Linked DNA regions of Lonchura striata. The protein of the gene in region 1 purifies or fractionates together with the protein of each later gene. This does not show direct contact. Links are inferred from orthologs where the notes say so. Each region holds a gene or a part of one and is shown on either strand. Other genes may lie near its edges. The genes, in order: FLCN and FNIP2.

Region 1 (8,684 bases):
ATTAATCAGAAAGATGGTATGGTCTGTTTCCATGATAATCCTGAAAAATATAACAATCCAGCTATGCTTCATAACATTGATCAGGAGGTAAATCTTTTACTCCTTTTGGAATTCTTACCAAAGAACCTTAGACTGTAATCAGAGAGGTGCTGGCAGGAGCCAGTGTAGTAACTTAGATATAGAGAGTGAGGACTGTAAATCACTATATTACTATTTCACAGTATTTTCATGGGTTTTAGATTAATACTCTCTCTCAATGTGTTCCCTGTTTTGTCCTGCACAGCTTGAGCTGTTTCAGGAGACTGACTGCTTGCTGTTGATGATAGGAAGATCCTTGAGTGGATTAGAAAGATTGTTTTTAGAGTTTTAAACTTGAAGGATCACTTCCATTGGCTCTCAGTAACCTGCCTGTAGGTTAAGGTGGTTGAGCCTCAGGGTACTGTCTATCAATGGCCTTAAAAAGGAAGGCATGGATCAAATGAAGGGAATAAAATACGGTCTTACACTTTTGTTTGGGAGGTGAGGGATGAGAACATTTTGATGTAGAACTTTAGTGGTGGCAGAAATTACTTGTTCTACGTGGCACAGCCGTGAAATGTGTTGAAGATTAGGTACAAGCTGGACAAAGTAATCAATTTCATACATATTTTTAAGATGCTGAAATGTATAGAGCTTGATGAACGACTGAAAGCCATGGATCAAGAGATCACTGTGAACCCTCAGTTTGTGCAGAAGGTAATGGATTTAATGTCTTGTCAGAGTATGTAAGAGATTCATTCAGTGCAGTGAGTATATTGTACTGAATGTCAGTATTTACAGTGTTGTTATTACATATTATTAATAATATGTGCATAAACATCATGACACATCATAAAGATAATTTATTAATTTTAAAGGTGCTTTTCCCTAATTAATCCTGCAGTGATTTTAACCAGAAAATTAAGTTCATGTTATTTCATAGGCACTTTATTTTCCTCCCTGTTCACTTCAAAGACCTGTCATTCTCAAGCCTGCAGACCTGTTTCTGAACAGAACTAACTCTTTCCCTTTCAGAGTATGGGCTCTCAAGAAGATGACTCAGGGACCAAACCATCCAGTTATTCTTGAAATTAATGTTGCTCACCACTCCGCTTTCAAGTAAAAGCTTACGAAAGAATCACGCCTGGAACAGGGCATTGAGGAGTTCCACAAAGAGAGCAGAGAGAACTGAGCTTTGCTTTTCACCTGGACATTAAGAAAATAAAAGAACACCCTCTCAGTACTGTATAATATCAGAAATATTCTCTGCAAAGAAAAAGGAAATCTCAAAAGAAACTTGAAAGTCTGTTGTGGATTTATTTATCTTCAGATTAACATTGTTAATGCATTAAATAATCTACCTTTTGTTTTAAAGGGTTTGAATGTTGCCGTGTTTCTGTAGCAGTCCTCCTCTTCTGCAAAAGAAAGTGTTATTCAGGGAAGAATACAAACCAGTGTTGGTTCACTTACAAGATAATTATTGGTTCATTATTCTGTATTTAAAGTTGGCTCAAAGTGCAGATTTATCATATGTGTGGTGGGGGCAGAGAGGTGGAGTTCAAGCAAATCATAATGTAGGGAATTTGCATATGCCCCATGTAGCTGGTGCTGTCTGTTAAATGAGGAAATAAGAACTGTTCTTCCAGAAAGGATGAGGATATCAACATGTCCTTGTAAGGAAGTTTGCTGCAAAGTAAGAATCATATATGGAAAACATACGTGACAGCTGTTTATGATTTTAAGTTTCTGTTGCAAAATATCTGCTAATATTATTTGCTCTTAGATGAAATTTATTAGGCCTAAACAAAAGGATATTTGGAAAACATTGGTGTTCTGGAGGATTCTAGATAGGAAGTTGTTTACACTGAAAGAAATTTAAATGTTTGTTCCTGTGCAACTGGCATGAAGGTATTCAACAGGCTGATTGTTTCTTTGGTGGAAACCTGTATTTCTGCATGGAACATAAATAGAATTCTATACAGCTCTCAAAATGCAGGATTTTATTCAGATATAATGTGTTGGAATGGTACCTGGTTTTTAATTTACTATTTTAAACTTTGAAACTTTGCTATTGGATTCTTTAAAGTGCTTCACCCCTTAAATCCAACAGGCTGTTTAATTTTCTGTCATTCTCGTGTATTTGAAGATTCTCACTGTTCAAACACCTTCCTGTCAGGCAGAAATAAACCCGTCATCAAATCAGAAAACAAGAAGCTCAACAGCCACTGCTTCCTACTGAAACACCTGGCCAGGAGCTGCTTGCTCCTGCTGCCCTGCCAGCTTTTGTCCAGGTGGGAGCTGAGCATTCCTGGCTCTTGCTGTGAGAAGTTTGTATGTATTGAGGTCACCTATGGTTGAAAATATTCCATTTGTGCTTCCAGCGCTGATACAGAAGTGTTGGTGGCAGCAGGGTGCTGCCTTCTGGTGCAGAGAGGTGTCCCAGGTTGTGGTTGGTGGTGGAGGACATTTTTAAAAAAGTATAAAATAGCAATTTAGTAGTGAACACAGTGGAGGTCCATAGTGTGAGTAGCTCATCACTTCCTGCCTGAGAGAATTCCATTGGGACAACTTTTATATCTGATCTTTAAGCAAGATCTTGGGGTTTTTCATAACTCACAAGTCTTGTAACTAGAAGAGATCTATGACTTGGAAGGTTTTTAGCCTTGTTAATCCTGCAGTGATTTTAATGCTGAACATACAGCATTTTCCCCTCTGGTCCCATGGAAGTATTAAATGAGTAATTAGTGATGCTGTGGCTTGAGCCCAAAACAGGGTGGTTGTTACAACCACATGTGGCACTCACAGAAGGGACTGCAAACAACTGACCCCAAACCCCACCCATCCAGAAATGTGCCTGCCTCAACTCTCTTTGCCAGTGGCTCCCTTGCCAGGGGAGAATGTATTGCCAGGGGAGAATGTATTCAAGATGCTGTCATGGAGTCTGAAAAAAACCAGGAATGTCCATTTTTACACTACTAGTTCCTGTTATTGAGCATGGATTTACCTGCTGAGATCTGCAGGATGGTTTTCCAGCTGTGGAATTAGAAGCAAACTAATCCATGCAGCTGGTGAATAGCTCTAGATTTTTCTCTTCTTTTTCCTTGCCCAAAGTAGATAAAATAAATCCATGCTCACATCAAAAGGATGGCAAAAATAGCTGTGTAATAGTTTAAAGTGATATATTCCATTACATATCTGATTTTTAAGAGGGCAAATGCTTTTAAAGTTAGAGAATGGCTGCGGTTCCTTTTCTGTCTGTGCTGTCAATGTCTGAATTCTGTTAGAAATTCAAAGTCAGGTCCCACCTGTAGAATCAGTAGATAAAGCATTCACCAAAAGTGCTCCAGGGAAGGGCTTTTAAGTCCTCGTTTGATAAACACACATGATCTGGCATCTGCATGTCTTGAGATAGCGCTGAAATTAAGTCAGATTTTTAATGAAGCAGCTCCTTCCAAGTCTTGGAACTAATTGCCTGGGCTGTGGTCAGCTGAGAGGCTTCGAGAACACTTGGGCTTTCTGGTTTTAATTTGTATTTACTGCAGGGAAGGACTTCTGCTGAAATCTAGGAACACTGCGTGCTGTGCTGCTCCCAACTTGGACTCTCAGAGGTCTCGTGGCTGTTCCTTCCCATCCTGCATGGTCACAAGATGTGTCCAGGGAATACTGAGTGCACGCTTTGATATCTGACTCTGATTTTGATGCATTTTAATTGGCAAAGACACAAAATGCACTTCTGAAGGCAGCATCACATGTGCAGCTGCAGTTCATAGCCACAGGAGGGGTCTCTAGGCCAGTCACGGTGAGATTTGGAAATGTTCCTAAGGAGGAATGGTTGGAAGCTGTGTCCAGCCAGCCCCCACTCCTGGTTTTGTGCCACTGAGGAGCCCCAGAGCGAGCTGTGCTGAGCCATTGCTCCGTGGTGTAACTGCAGCTGCCTCCTCCTCCACAGCTCCCTGTGTGTGCCACGGCACAGCCACAGCCCCGTGTTTGTGTTGTCACAGGCCGTCTGTATAACCTAGGAAATGTTCTCCGTGTGCCACGCTGGCCCGGGAGCTTAGTCCTGAGAAGTTGTTTAAATGTACTATTGGAAAATAAAGATAACAAACGAGTGGTTCTTAGTTTGTCTTCAATGAGATTGTAGGTCTTTTCCATTTGGGGTTTTCTTAGGTTTTTTGGGGGGATCTCTCTGTTGTGGTTGCTTTTCAGGAGGTGATTTTTGGCTGACTGGGGAGGCTGCTGGTTGCCTGCTGTGTGTGGCAGTGCCCTCTGCTCCAGAGGTGCTGAAACCCTGCTGGTGGCTTCTCAGAGCTCTGCTGAGCAATTCCAAGTAGAAATAATCTTTCTTTAGTGTCTTTCTGGAGAAGTGCTGCTGCAGGTCCTTGACTGAGATGAGCTTTGGGATTTTGGATGGAACGCATCTTCACTAGTCTAGTGAAGATGTCCCTGCCCACAGCAGGGGCTTGGCATGGGATGGTCCATGAGGTCCTTCCAACCCAAACCATTCTGGGATTTGTGTCTGAGCTCTGTATTTCTGTAACAATCCATCTTGCTGACCATCTGGCTATTGTTTTAATCAAAGACATAATTATTAGTCCATGAGTGGCTGTGCTTGGACCCAGAGGTGTGTTGTGTAGTGGTATCAGCAATAGCTGCTCTTTCTTGGGATTAAAGTACGAGTTTTACTCAGTTGAATAATCTATGCTGTTATCTACCTGAAAACTTATTCTTTTTGTTCAGATTCAGGTATTTAAAGTTCTTTAAGTGGCGACTCCAAGGGGCAGGGAGGAATCTGGTACTTTATTATTTTTGAAGGTCAATAGGTTCATATGGAATTTGGTTTAGCTTTCCATCATAGATTCTTAAGAGATAAATAATATTTTAATATTTAAATGTGATATCCTGAAGAGAAACAGGAGTTGTTTAATGGAAATAAAGAGCCTGAACAGGCTTAACTTGGGCATCTGCTCCCCTGCCCTTCCCGGGCTGTACCTGTGCAAACACTTCCACAGAGCCGCTTTATACATCGGGAAACGACAGTATTGTGAAACCTTCATCTGCCATAATCTAACATTCTGAGCACTTTAAGGAACTAACACAGACGGTGGGTGCTGAGTCTCCAATGGAGAAATCGCGCCGAGCCTGCGAGAACACGGCACCGCCCTGAGGCCGGAGAAAGTCCCGGGAAGGGGCTCTGCGACAGCCGATGGCGAAGCTCGTTAATGCGGCAGGCTCCAACCCGGCCGCGGTTTCCATCCCGGCCCCGGCTCCGGTCCCGGTCCCGGTCCCGGCCCCGGCTCCGGTCCCGGTCCCGGTCCCGGTCCCGGCCCCTCCGGGGCTCCGCCCGCGGCCACCCCGGGTCCCCTCCCAGAGCCCGCGGGTCACATGACCCACAGCGCGGCCCGTACCACCCCGCGGGGGGAGCGCCGTCCGCTCCCGGGGCGGCCCCCGCCGGTCGCTGGCTGCCGCTCGTCCCTTCCGGTGTCCCCGGTGATGGAACACCGCTGCTCCGCTCTGCGCCGTGACAGCTGGGCAGGTGTAGCGCGGGCGGGGAGGGTGCGCCTTCCAGACCTTCTTACACCCCCCTCTGAGATAATGGCTCCGCCCGGCCCCTGTGGACAGGGCGGCCCTGGGCCGAGCCACTGCAGCAGCCGGGGGGTGGCGGCTCTCCGGGCGGGACGGCCGGCTCAGTCCCGCGGTACGAACGGGCTTCTCATCTCTCTCTCTGTCTCTCTCCTACCTTGTTCTCCATCTTCTCGCTTCTCCGCGGCGGCGGCGGGCGCGCGGGCGGGGCGCTGTGTGTCCCTGCCCCCCCTCCCCCCCCCCCCGGCTGGCGGTGGGGTGGTAGGGCCGGTGGGTCAGTCGGTGTCAGGCTCGGGACGGGCCGGGGGCGCCGCGGTGAGCGGGGCGGCGGGCACGGGAGCGGGGCGGCGGGGAAGGGAGCGGGGCCGCGGTGACGGGGAGCGGGGAGCCGGACACTGCACCCGCGGGACAGGCTGGCTCCGGCAGGGCCTGAGCGTTCGGCTCCCTGGGTGCTCCGCAGCGCCCGCCCGATCCGGCCTGAGGCTCCGGCCACGGGGGATCTTCTGGTCTGAGCTCAGCCTTGATCCAGAGGAGGCCACCAAGGTGATCGGGGGGGAAGAGCACCTGGCCTTTGAGGAAAGGCTGGGAGAATTGGGATTGTTCAGCCTAGAAAGGGGAAGGCTTCGGGGTGACCTAATTGTGGCCTTCCAGTACCTAAATAGAACTTGCAGGAAAGATGGGACAAGACTATTTACAGGGGTGTGGAGTGACACGACCAGGGGGAACGGCTTCAAACCGACAGCAGGCTTAGATAGGATATTGGGAAGGAATTTGGCCTGTGAGTGTGGGGAAGCACAGGTTGTCCAGAGAAGCTGTGGCTTCTCCATCCCTGGAAGTGTCCAAGGCCAGGTTGGATGGGGCTTGGAGCAATCTGGGATAGGGGAAGGTGTCCTGTCCGTGGCAGGAGGTTGTACTGGGTTATTTCCAAGGTCACTTCCTACCCAAACCATTCTGGGATTCCCTGAACCTGTAATACTGGAGGTATCTGGGCTTGATGGATTGGTCCAGCCCCATTCACCCCCACGGGGCTTGACGTGTCCTGGATCAGCGTCCAGCATCTGGGCACGGCAGGGTGAGTTGCTGATGGGGTTGCCCATCAGCAAACAGAAGGTTGCTCCTGGATCAGTGCAATGCCTGGGGAGGTGTTGGAGTCACCATCCCTGGAGGTGTCTAAGGAAAGACTGGACACGGCACTCAGTGCTCTGGGCTGGGTGACAAGGTGGGGATCGGTTGGACTTGATGGTCCTGGAGGTCTCAGGCTGAGCTTAAGGCCAGCTGCTCCGGGTGGGGTGCAGAGCAGCAGCAAGGGCTGAGAGCTGCCCTGTATCTGTGTACTGACCGTGTGCTCTGCCCCTGGCTGCAGGAGCCTGGCGGCGGTGCTGAGCCCTCACGATGAACGCCATCGTTGCCCTGTGCCATTTCTGCGAGCTCCACGGCCCTCGCACCCTGTTCTGCACCGAGGTCCTGCACTCGCCGCTCCCGCAGGGCGCCGGCAGCGGGGACATCTCCGGGCAGAACGAGCAGGCAGAGGAGGAGGAAGGTGGGATTCAGATGAGCAGCAGGATCCGCTCGCACAGCCCGGCTGAAGGGGCCAGCGCCGACTCCAGCAGCCCAGGGCCAAAGAAATCAGACATGTGTGAGGCAAGTGGGAAAATCTGTGCGTGGGGATCTCCGTCCTTGGCTGTGCTAAAGGGCTCTGGGATTCTCTGATGTAAATTGAATTGTTTAGAGACAAATAAAAATGTGAACAGAATATGTTTTATATGTGTCAGTGCCAGAAGATGTCCAAGTCCTCATAAACTGCAAGCTAGCCCTAACTGTAATCCTGGTGATCCATGACAAGAGGATGAAGGAGCTGTTGTTGAATGCATACACCTTGACAGGACCTTGATGTCTCTTTAAGTTCTGTGATTTGTGATTCTCCTGTGGCTGAGAAATGCTTTGCTCATCCTTGAAGAACATTTATTTTGTTAGATTAGATCAGATAAATTATTAATAGTAATTTTAAGAGCAGTATTGGTTAGGAAAGAATTAAAAAGTAAAACAATAAAAACAATAGGAAAAAATTATATTCTCATTCATTCAGGGCTGTTCAGCCTGGAGAACAGAAGTTTGTGTGGAGACCTCGCAGTACCTTTCCAGTGTCTGAAGGGGCCTGCAGGGAATCCAGAGAAGGACTTTCATCAGGAACTGCAGTGATAAGACAAGGAGTAGTGTGTTGAAACTGAAAAAAGGGGAAATTTAGGTTAGATATACTAAAAAATTATTCCCTCTCAGGGTAGTGAGGCCCTGGCACAGGTTGCCCAGAGAAGCTGTGGCTGCCCCATCCTAGGAAGTGTCCAAGGCCAGGTTGCATGGGGCTTGGGAAGGTGTCCCTTCCCATGGCAGGGGGTGGAATGAGGTGCTCTTTAAGGTCCCTTCCAACCCAAACCATTCTATGATTCTCATATTTGTTTTCTATCAGTACTTCCTCTCACATATTTATTATTTACTTTCCCTTCAGTTGTGGCCAGTTTTGTTTGGCCGGTTGGTTTCTCAGCTGCTGTAACTGAACTTTACCAGCACTAAGTTCATAGTGGGCTTAAATAGTGGAAAATGAGCATAAAAGCAGAAGAAGTATATCAGAGTTTTGTGTGAGGACCTGAGTTCAAATCCTGACCCTGACTCACCTTCCTTGTCTTCTGAGTCTTTGTGTTCCTGTCTGTGTGTGTAAATAAGATTTTACGGTGCTTTGGAGGGAACAGTCAGAGCTCTTTGGAAATCTCAGATACCTGCACGCTCATTTATGGCTGGATTTGCTTTTCTGCCTTCAGGGCTGCCGCTCTCTTGCAGGAGGACACCCGGGGTACGTCAGCCACGACAAGGAAACCTCCATCAAGTACGTCAGCCACCAGCACCCAAACCACCCCCAGCTGTTCAGCATCGTGCGCCAGGCCTGCGTCCGCAGCCTCAGCTGTGAGGTACCTGCCGTGGAGGACAGGGAAATGCTCTTTGTGCCTCCTCTGTCACTTCAAATCCAGGATAGTCCATTGCTTATCCTGGCTGCTCTCTGCAGACTGAAACATGGAGAGAACCAGGTGGAAAGA
Region 2 (8,437 bases), on another chromosome or scaffold:
TCACATAAAAATGTCCTTTCTTTGTCAAAAATCATATACATCAAAAAAGTTACATGCATACCTGTTTTGCAGCAGTCTAGTCACTTTGTTGGCACAGCTGACACTTTCGTCTCTCAAAGACTTTCTAATTCTTTCATCCAATTTGGTACAAGAGAGATCATTGTTGTTTCTTGTTCTTTCTATTTGTCCCCCAGTGCCATTTGCAGTTTTTGGTGTACCCCCACACATTTTCTTAGCTACAAGTCCTCTTGTAAAGCTCCCTCAAAGAAACTAAAACACCTGCTGAAGAGAAAAAACCTCAAGCAAGTTTCTTCACTATCGCTCAACCATTAACAATGGTAATTTACCATCACCTTTCTTCCCAATAAAGGAAGACAGTCTGCTGAATTTCCAGTTGGGGGGGAAAAAAGGCAAAGGAATCTTCATATATTCTATAAGCCATTAATACAAAAGGACAGCTGTAGCTAATGTAGTCCTGCAATTATTCCAGAAAGAACAGACATGACTTTCAGGTTTCAGAAGCCATCGTGGACTTGTTCTTGCTGCTGTCAGAGGTTTTCCTTCTAAGCCTGGCGCAAAGCTGCAGCAGATACAACAGCTAATATTGACTTTAGCTATGTTTGTTTCCTGGTATGTGATTTAGGTAGCTGGCAATTATGTAGTCACAAGACTGAACCATATGGCCTCTTTAAAAAAAAAAAAAAAAAGCATAGTTGCTTTTGCAGTGACTCGCCCTTAGTTGCAAGGTTGTTCTAACACTGGCTACAACACCCTGTTAATGGCTCTCATGTGAGCAAGTGTCATCTGACAACCCCTAGCAACCTCGTATAGCTTAGGAGCAAGTAAGAATCTGTCATCATTGCCATATGGTTATCAGTTTAAAAAACCCAACTACCAACACCAAGAAACATGCTAGATATTCTGTGCTGTACTGACTTTATTTCTAAGGACAAATACTACTTATACTTGGACAAGAACTTGACACTAGTACTTTGAAAAGCTATTTGAAAAGTATGAAGGAAAACAATGAGAAAAGGTTTGTTCAGATTTCAAGTTGCTTGATGAGAATTTACAGTCATGTGCCTCTTAAAATAATTCAATGACAGCATTGATGACAAAAATATCTAATAAAGTACTCCCAAGTAAATTTCAGTTTTTGAACAGAACAAAGGAATCGGATCACAGAAGAGAGAACATAATTGAGTCCAACTCCTGGGCCTGCACAGCAGCATCCCCAAGAGTCATACTTAATGCCCCAAAGTGCTGTCCAAACACTTCTTGAACTCTGTCAGGGATTGGTGCTGTGACCACTTCCCTGGGGAGCCTATTTGAGTGCCCAAACACCCTCTAAGTGAGTAACTTTTTTCAAATATGCAACCTAAACCTCCTCAGCACAACTTCAGGCCATTCCCTTGGGTACTGTCACTGGTCACCACAGAAGAGATCAGTGTCTGCCCCTCCTCTTCCCCTCATGATGAAGTTGCAACTGCAATGAGGTCTCCTCTCAGTCTCATGTTCTTCAAGCTCAACAAAGTGAGTGACCTCAGCCATTTCTCATACAGCTTTTCCACAAGGCCTTCCATCATCTTTTTTGCCCTCCTTTGGGCACTCTCTGATAGCTTAAATATCTTTCTTGTATTGCAGTGTCCAAAACTACACACAGGATGTTCTGTTAGGCTCTGGTAATTCTACTGCAGAATAAAGTCCTCTTTACCCCATCTTTGCTTTAAAATAAGTTATCCAGACATATCTGCTCATAATTCACATCTATCATGAATTACAATGGGCTTTCTCCTCACCAGTAAAATTTTAGACATTTTATAAGATAACAGCCCTACTGCAATTTCTCTTCCAGGTTAAAAAGGGAAAATAACTTTGTTAATGGTCAACCAGACAAGCAGTAGAGTTAGAAGCAAGATTTCAAAACCCAGTGCTACGTGCTACCTGCTAAATAGCACAGCACCCTTAAAATGATTTTGTAATCACAGTTAACCCCAACCTCTAAAAACTGGACAGAAGTGAAGCAAAAAACTAGAGCAATGCTAGGTTGAACAACTTGCTCTGTTGCTGAGGGAAACCTATAGCAATAAAAAAACCGCTCCACTTCGATCCCCAGAGAAGTGACAAGTACTGGATCACAATCACTCCTCCTTCCAAGAATGGCAAACAAGTGAAATCTTTGGCCTGTTCTCAAGTGACTTAAATTGTCTAGGAGAAGACAACTCTAGTCTTCCCCTCATTGAGGAAGACTACTTTAAACACCAGTGTTACCAGTCATCTTTGAAGCACAGATGAAAGAAGTGAAATAATACATGTTGACTAAGATCAGGAAATCATAGCTTTCACTTCTGCACTACCCTTTCCCCAAACAAACCAAAATTCTGGAACATTCATCAAACAATCAAATTCCCATCAGGGATTAGAACAAGAAACTCCTGTAAGCTCACTAAATAGATGGCTTCACAACACTACCTCATCTGTAAATGCAATCATCTGTAGAATAACATAAATCCTATAGTATCTGAAGAATTAACATTCCAAATCCACAGCACAGTTTCTAAACAACAAAATAATATATAAATCTACACATGGAAAACACACAGTCCATAAAGTAGATAACACAGAAAATGGAATAAAGTGTCCTGCTCTGCAGATATAATCCTCTGTGAAGCTGAATTTAATCACTCTTTTTCTAGGCTATGTGACAGCATGCCACCTGCTCTGTTTGTAGGTCATTTCCTGTCCTTCATTTTCACTGCAAGACAATTGCCTAAATTATTTCAACTCAAGGTAATACTTTAGCAAGAAAATTTGGGGTAGGGGAAAGAGGAAATAAATGTATGTGATGTAGTTTAAGAATAATTTTCTATATAAGTTACAGCTGTCCACTAAAACTTAAGCACTGTTTTCAAATCTAAGAGAATATTTTCAGAGACCCATGCAAGCTTTTAGAAGTGGCTAGAGAAGCTTAGCAAAAAAGTTTGAACCACACCTGCTGTTTCAGTGAGCATTTCTTTTTGCAAAACACACACATCGCAAAATTGATACACAAAAAATACCTAGACCCAAACACTCAGGATTAGTGCCAAAACACATATTTAAAGATGAAGTGGAATCTTTTCTGGATTGCTTAATGATAATTTTCCCTCTTTTAGTCCATTGAATAGTTTATGGGGAAGATAGGTTCCCATCCTCCCTCCTAATTTGCCTCATTTACCCTACATTGTTTCTTCTCTTTCTAAAACCTCAGATATGGAAGAGTTGTGTGGATGCCACACCACATTCCTTTTCCACAATGACTTAAAGTAGTCCTAATATGGCAAAGCTCTATTAACCTGAGATGAACTACCTTGTTCAAGCATGATACATAGTTACTAGTTTCACACAAGTTAGGCGGGATACATTGCAGATTAGTCACGCAACAAGTGAACGAAGGTATTATTTGGAGCACTGCTCTCTCTCAAGACAGATTTTCCTGAAGAAAATGTTCAGATGGAAAAAAAGTTCTAGGTATCAAATCACTGTACAGAAGCGTCACTTTTTTTAGAATAATTCTATATGTTCCTCTATGAACTCCAAGCAGTATTGGACATATTTGTTAATTGAAAAGCTAGAATTCCACAGATTCCCTGCTTAGGAAAGGACAAGATACTGGATTTTTGTGAGGCTGGAAGTATTTTTTCTTCATCTTTGTTGCTATAAAGCAATATCATCACAAACATGCACAAAAAATGACAAGACACACACACTGCTAAATAGAGGTTAACAAACAGATCTACGCAAGTTGGAGTCACCATAAAGTGCACACATCAGCTTTCCATAAACATAAAGAGCAGCCCATTAAACCAGTGCGTCAACTCAACTTCTCTAAGTTATCAGGAATCACTGCTCACTGGCTTATCTACAAATCTGAAGTCTGGGAGTTAGCTGTCATAGGGTATCTATCTAATGTAATCTATCTAATGTAGAAATAAAAAAATAAAACCCACAATAAAACAAAACCTTAATCAAAGAAAACACCCAGCAAGTACACTGTTTGAAGGAGGACCACAAATAGCACAGAGACAGCACTCTCAGTTGCTAGCTCCAGAAGTGGAATTCCTCATTAGGAAAGAAAAGAGCTAAAGGCTTGTAATTGCATGGAAAAAAGCATGCATTTAATTGTGTTTGACCATTAAGAAAAGTATGGGTTTTGTTAAACTAGGTCTTTAAACAAAGACAGGTAAAATCTGCATTAAGGTTAGCACCTTATGTCTACCACCTAGTTCTTTCCTCCATACAGAAAGCCATGCTTAGTTTTAAACAACTTTCCCCTTTCCATCCCACTTTCTGCTGCCATCTCTATAGCTTCCAACAGTTGGGAGAGCCAGCTGACCCGAAGCAAGTCAAGTATTTTGCAGTAGCTGTTTCAGAGTGATGATCTTTATCAATTCAAAAAAATGAAAATTTGCTTGTGATTTAACACTCTCTAGGATTTGACTCTGCTCCTTTCCCTGTTTATTTTTTCAAGGCATCTGCAATAAGCCGCTTCCAGCTTTCACTGGAGCCAAACAGCAGCGGCCACCCGGGAGCAAGCAGTGTGGGTCCGGCGCCTCTGCTGCGTGGCCGGGCACAGGCAGCCGGGCCGGCCAGGGCACCCCACCTCCTCCGGCACGCAGCCTGGGTCTCGGCTAATGCATCATTCCCGTGTCACTTGTTCCAGCGGCGCCATGTGACTGGGCCAGCGGCCAGGAACACAGCTACTAAATACAGACACTGCCAAGGCACGTCTGGGAACTGCCTCTGCCAGAAAATGAGATTAAGAGAAATCCTTTATCCTGCCTCTGCCTTTCCCCACCTTCTCTTGAACACAAGGAAGAACTACCCATTGTACATCTGTCTGAAGGAGAATTTTGAGCAACAATGCAAGGCAGAATCTGGTATTTATAACACTATACTAGCTCTTACTTCATTGCAGTGCTGTATAAAAGTACTGACAGAATTCAGACCTTAGTATCTCCTACATACGTGAGCAGGCCAAGACAGACATCGCCACACCTTAAGGCTGGTATCCTGAGGCATGGGTTTGGTTGTCTGCTCTTTCCTGTTCCTTCTCCCTCCTCTATAAAGCCCTATATTCTATATTTTATTCTTTTTATTTAAGGAAGATTCTGTATACAGGTTTCAGACATCTGTTCAAAGGATTAATTTCAGAATATGAAAAAAATTATTAAGAAAAAATGTTATTTATTGGATGTAAGTAAATACATAGATACAGAGAGCTAAACAATGTCTGGTGTTTAACATTCTCCCCCCACCCCAGTTTTTTTCTAGCTAAATGGAAAGTATTTTTCTGCTATAACATACACAAACACCTTCAAGTAGCCAAAAACACCCTCATGTTAACAGCAACCATTTCTTTAGAAATTTCCTCCACTTCTATACTATGAAAAGGCTACATTCACAAGAGGGCTTTGTGAACTGCAGAGGATGTGGCACTTTCTCAAGCTTTACAGACAGAAGTTTAGGGTACTCTCTCCAGGGGTGCAGAAAGATTGCAAATCCCCATTTCTCATCATTGTTCTGAACACGCACTCCCACTGTACAAAAGAACACACTCAAGGAGGGCTAGAGGCAAGTGCTATCCAAGGACCCCATGGCCTTCTTCCAAGGGAAATTGCTTCAAAGTGTTTCATCTAACCCAAAAGCACAAACTCAGCAGTATCACTTCACTTAAAACGAAATTAATATTTACCTCCTAAATTCCTATTCTATGAAAAGATATCACATGTGGCTCTCTAACAGTGCTGAGAACTGAAGCAGCCCAGTTTTTTTGACTAGCTAACATAGTATTGGCAAGACCTCTGTAAATGGTTATGTTAAACTGTTGTAAGAACAAGATGTGTTTTGATACTTCTAAAACAGAGATTGCAGCTGAAAAGTTAGTCTGCAATAACCAGGGAAGGAAGGAAGAAAACCTAAGTTGAATATTTATGAGAAAGTACTGATTTACCAAACTGGCAAGAATATGGGAAAGAACACATACACAAGAAGCCATGCTTGATCACCCAAAAGTTGCTACAGCACGAACAGCAAAATCCATTGCCTTGGTCTAGATGAATGCCAGGAAATCCTGACTTAGATTGAATGAAGTGATAACACGGACGGATATAACATCAGCTCCGGCATTTTTCACTAGTTATAGCCAAAAATATGTTTTGCTCCTCCTGTTGTTGTTATGATAATTTGTCTATTCCATCCAAAACACTTTCCTTAACTCTCTTGTAGATAGCACAGAAAACAGCTTTCGAGTAACTAGAACTGAATCTTGAAGGCTTACACAGATTTATTTTCAAGTTTCACTGGAAAGGGAAGGAGGAACCACACCTTAGGACCATGTGCAGAAGATCATGGCAATTAAATAACTCATACCATACATCTTTTCAATGAAAAAGACTACACACAAAACCAACCAAACAAACCACAATCCTGCAGCTGACTGGCACAGGCAAACCTATCCTTGCTGCAAGCCACTATGCTAAAGACTTACGTTCTGTTTACCACCAATTGCGTAGGACTTTGCATGTATAAATAGTCATTAAGTTATGAAACAGTCTCCCCTCCTTAAAGCAGGCCAACCACTCTAAACTACTCACATAGGATCCCAAACATTTTCTCAAAAACACTGGTATTATAGAAGACTTAGAAGTTTATCCAGTCAGGTTTGTACGTAATTACGGCTGACCGCACCCAGTAGTATGCTAGCATTTGGCTGCCAAGTATCAGTCCATCAACCCTGAAACATCTGAGCAAAAACATAAAAATCACACGGAAAACTTAGTTGCATCCTTGTCCTGCAACAAGAATGATTTGCACATTGATAGATGCAAACAAATTTCAGTCAGTAGCAATTATTTACACAAATTCGAAACCTTCCTCCTCACAAGAAGGTAAAAATTCGTCAAGCTTCTTTAATGCTCCCCAGGAAAACAGTGTACAAGAAAATCCTTTATAACAGACCTGATTTACTAGTGAGGTGAAGTCTACCAGAGAAGACTCACTAGAAGCCATCCTAACAATTACAGATTCAGGACAACTTCCTTTAAATACAAACAAAACTCTTTATTTTCACTTTCTGCCAGAACAGGGACCAAGGATACAACTCTGATGAAGACTACATTCAACTTTTAGTGCTTCAGTAACGCAAACAAAAAGCCAAAATAAACTCAAATTTCTAGTTTGCATGCTAACACATTTCAATACAAATACAGAATTATTTCTTTAAGCAGAAAACAAAGTTTAATTCATAGGTTCAAGTCATCTTTGGCACTCCACACGGACATATTTTCCTCAAAAATAAAGAAATTGGACAGATGCATTATCAATGTGCACATGGGTTCATTGAGTTGACTGTTTCAAAAAAACCACATTCACTACAAAATACATTGTTTGCATTTTCATCTTCTTCGCATACCTATCACTGCACTCATTATCCAGTCCAGCTCTCCATTAGCATTTTACAGCATTTCCACCAAGTGCTATAATAAAGTGACAAACAGAAATAGCTACTTTCAAACGATTTCCCTAGTTTCATTCAAAAGCATTCCAGAATATATCCCTATGTGTAAGACTGCTTACAGGAACTTCTGAACACAAGAAATTTAGTACCTGAACTTTTTTGAACTCAACTGTACTGTGATCTAGTTCACAGGAGGTGACTAACATATCCCCAAGTCTCCCAAGTACCAAAGTCATTAGGTAGTACTCACCCACCCCCTAAGTTAGAATTGGGTCTGAAATCATTTTAGTGAGATTTATATGCACAGGCAAATCTCACAAACACCTTTATAAGGAGAGAGGGTTAATTTTTCCAAGTCTTTAACTTGATATGATCTAGAAACATTTTTAACAGTTGGGAGGGCAGAGGTTGCACTTCTGAAGCTGTTTCAAGCAGCTAACACAGGACAGCAGCCTTCCTCCAGGCTAAAAGCCAAGACCAAGCAGGAGCCAAGATGCATGCCACTATGGTTGTCTGCTAAGTGAAGTGGCCACCAGATCCCTGTTCTTTATTCCAGCCATCTCAACACAGCTGAGGATTAGCCCTCCATAACCATTCCTGCATGGTGTGACAGCTTAACACAGACTACTGTAAGAAGAGCTGGTTCTATCACTGACCTTTACATAGACACAACTGATAGCACTTGAACACTGTTCCATCAATGCTACTGTGGAAGTGACAAACGTCCAGCCAATACCCGATCCCAGCATAGAACAGGAGACTGCAGTAGCATCTTGTAACATTGGAGCCATTTACCAAGACCAAGCCTTCATATGCATGGACTAACCCTGCTGCTCCACAGCTGAGTAAAGCGGTTTCTGCACCAAATATCTTCTTCCTTGCACCTGCACCTTCCTTCACAGCACCTCATAGGTCTCCACCCACATTGTTCAATCCAAG

What was found.
Region 2: the proteins of FLCN (region 1) and FNIP2 purify together in Homo sapiens (affinity purification with western blotting; 5 studies listed by BioGRID and IntAct, with this or other methods). This does not show direct contact. The link is inferred for Lonchura striata from reciprocal best matches to the Homo sapiens genes FLCN and FNIP2.

What each region holds. Positions count from the first base shown.
Region 1 is NC_134618.1:15,352,196-15,360,879, reverse strand, and holds the start of FLCN (folliculin), read left to right. Parts: upstream 1-5,469; 5' UTR 5,470-5,713; intron 5,714-5,843; exon of another isoform or gene 5,844-5,913; intron 5,914-6,961; 5' UTR 6,962-6,990; coding exon 6,991-7,239; intron 7,240-8,411; coding exon 8,412-8,558; intron 8,559-8,684. Other genes in the region: COPS3 (COP9 signalosome complex subunit 3), read left to right, coding at 1-87, 655-735, 1,054-1,107. UniProt on the Homo sapiens protein: Multi-functional protein, involved in both the cellular response to amino acid availability and in the regulation of glycolysis.
Region 2 is NC_134606.1:40,680,840-40,689,276, forward strand, and holds the start of FNIP2 (folliculin-interacting protein 2), read right to left. Parts: upstream 3,285-8,437; 5' UTR 229-3,284; coding exon 62-228; intron 1-61.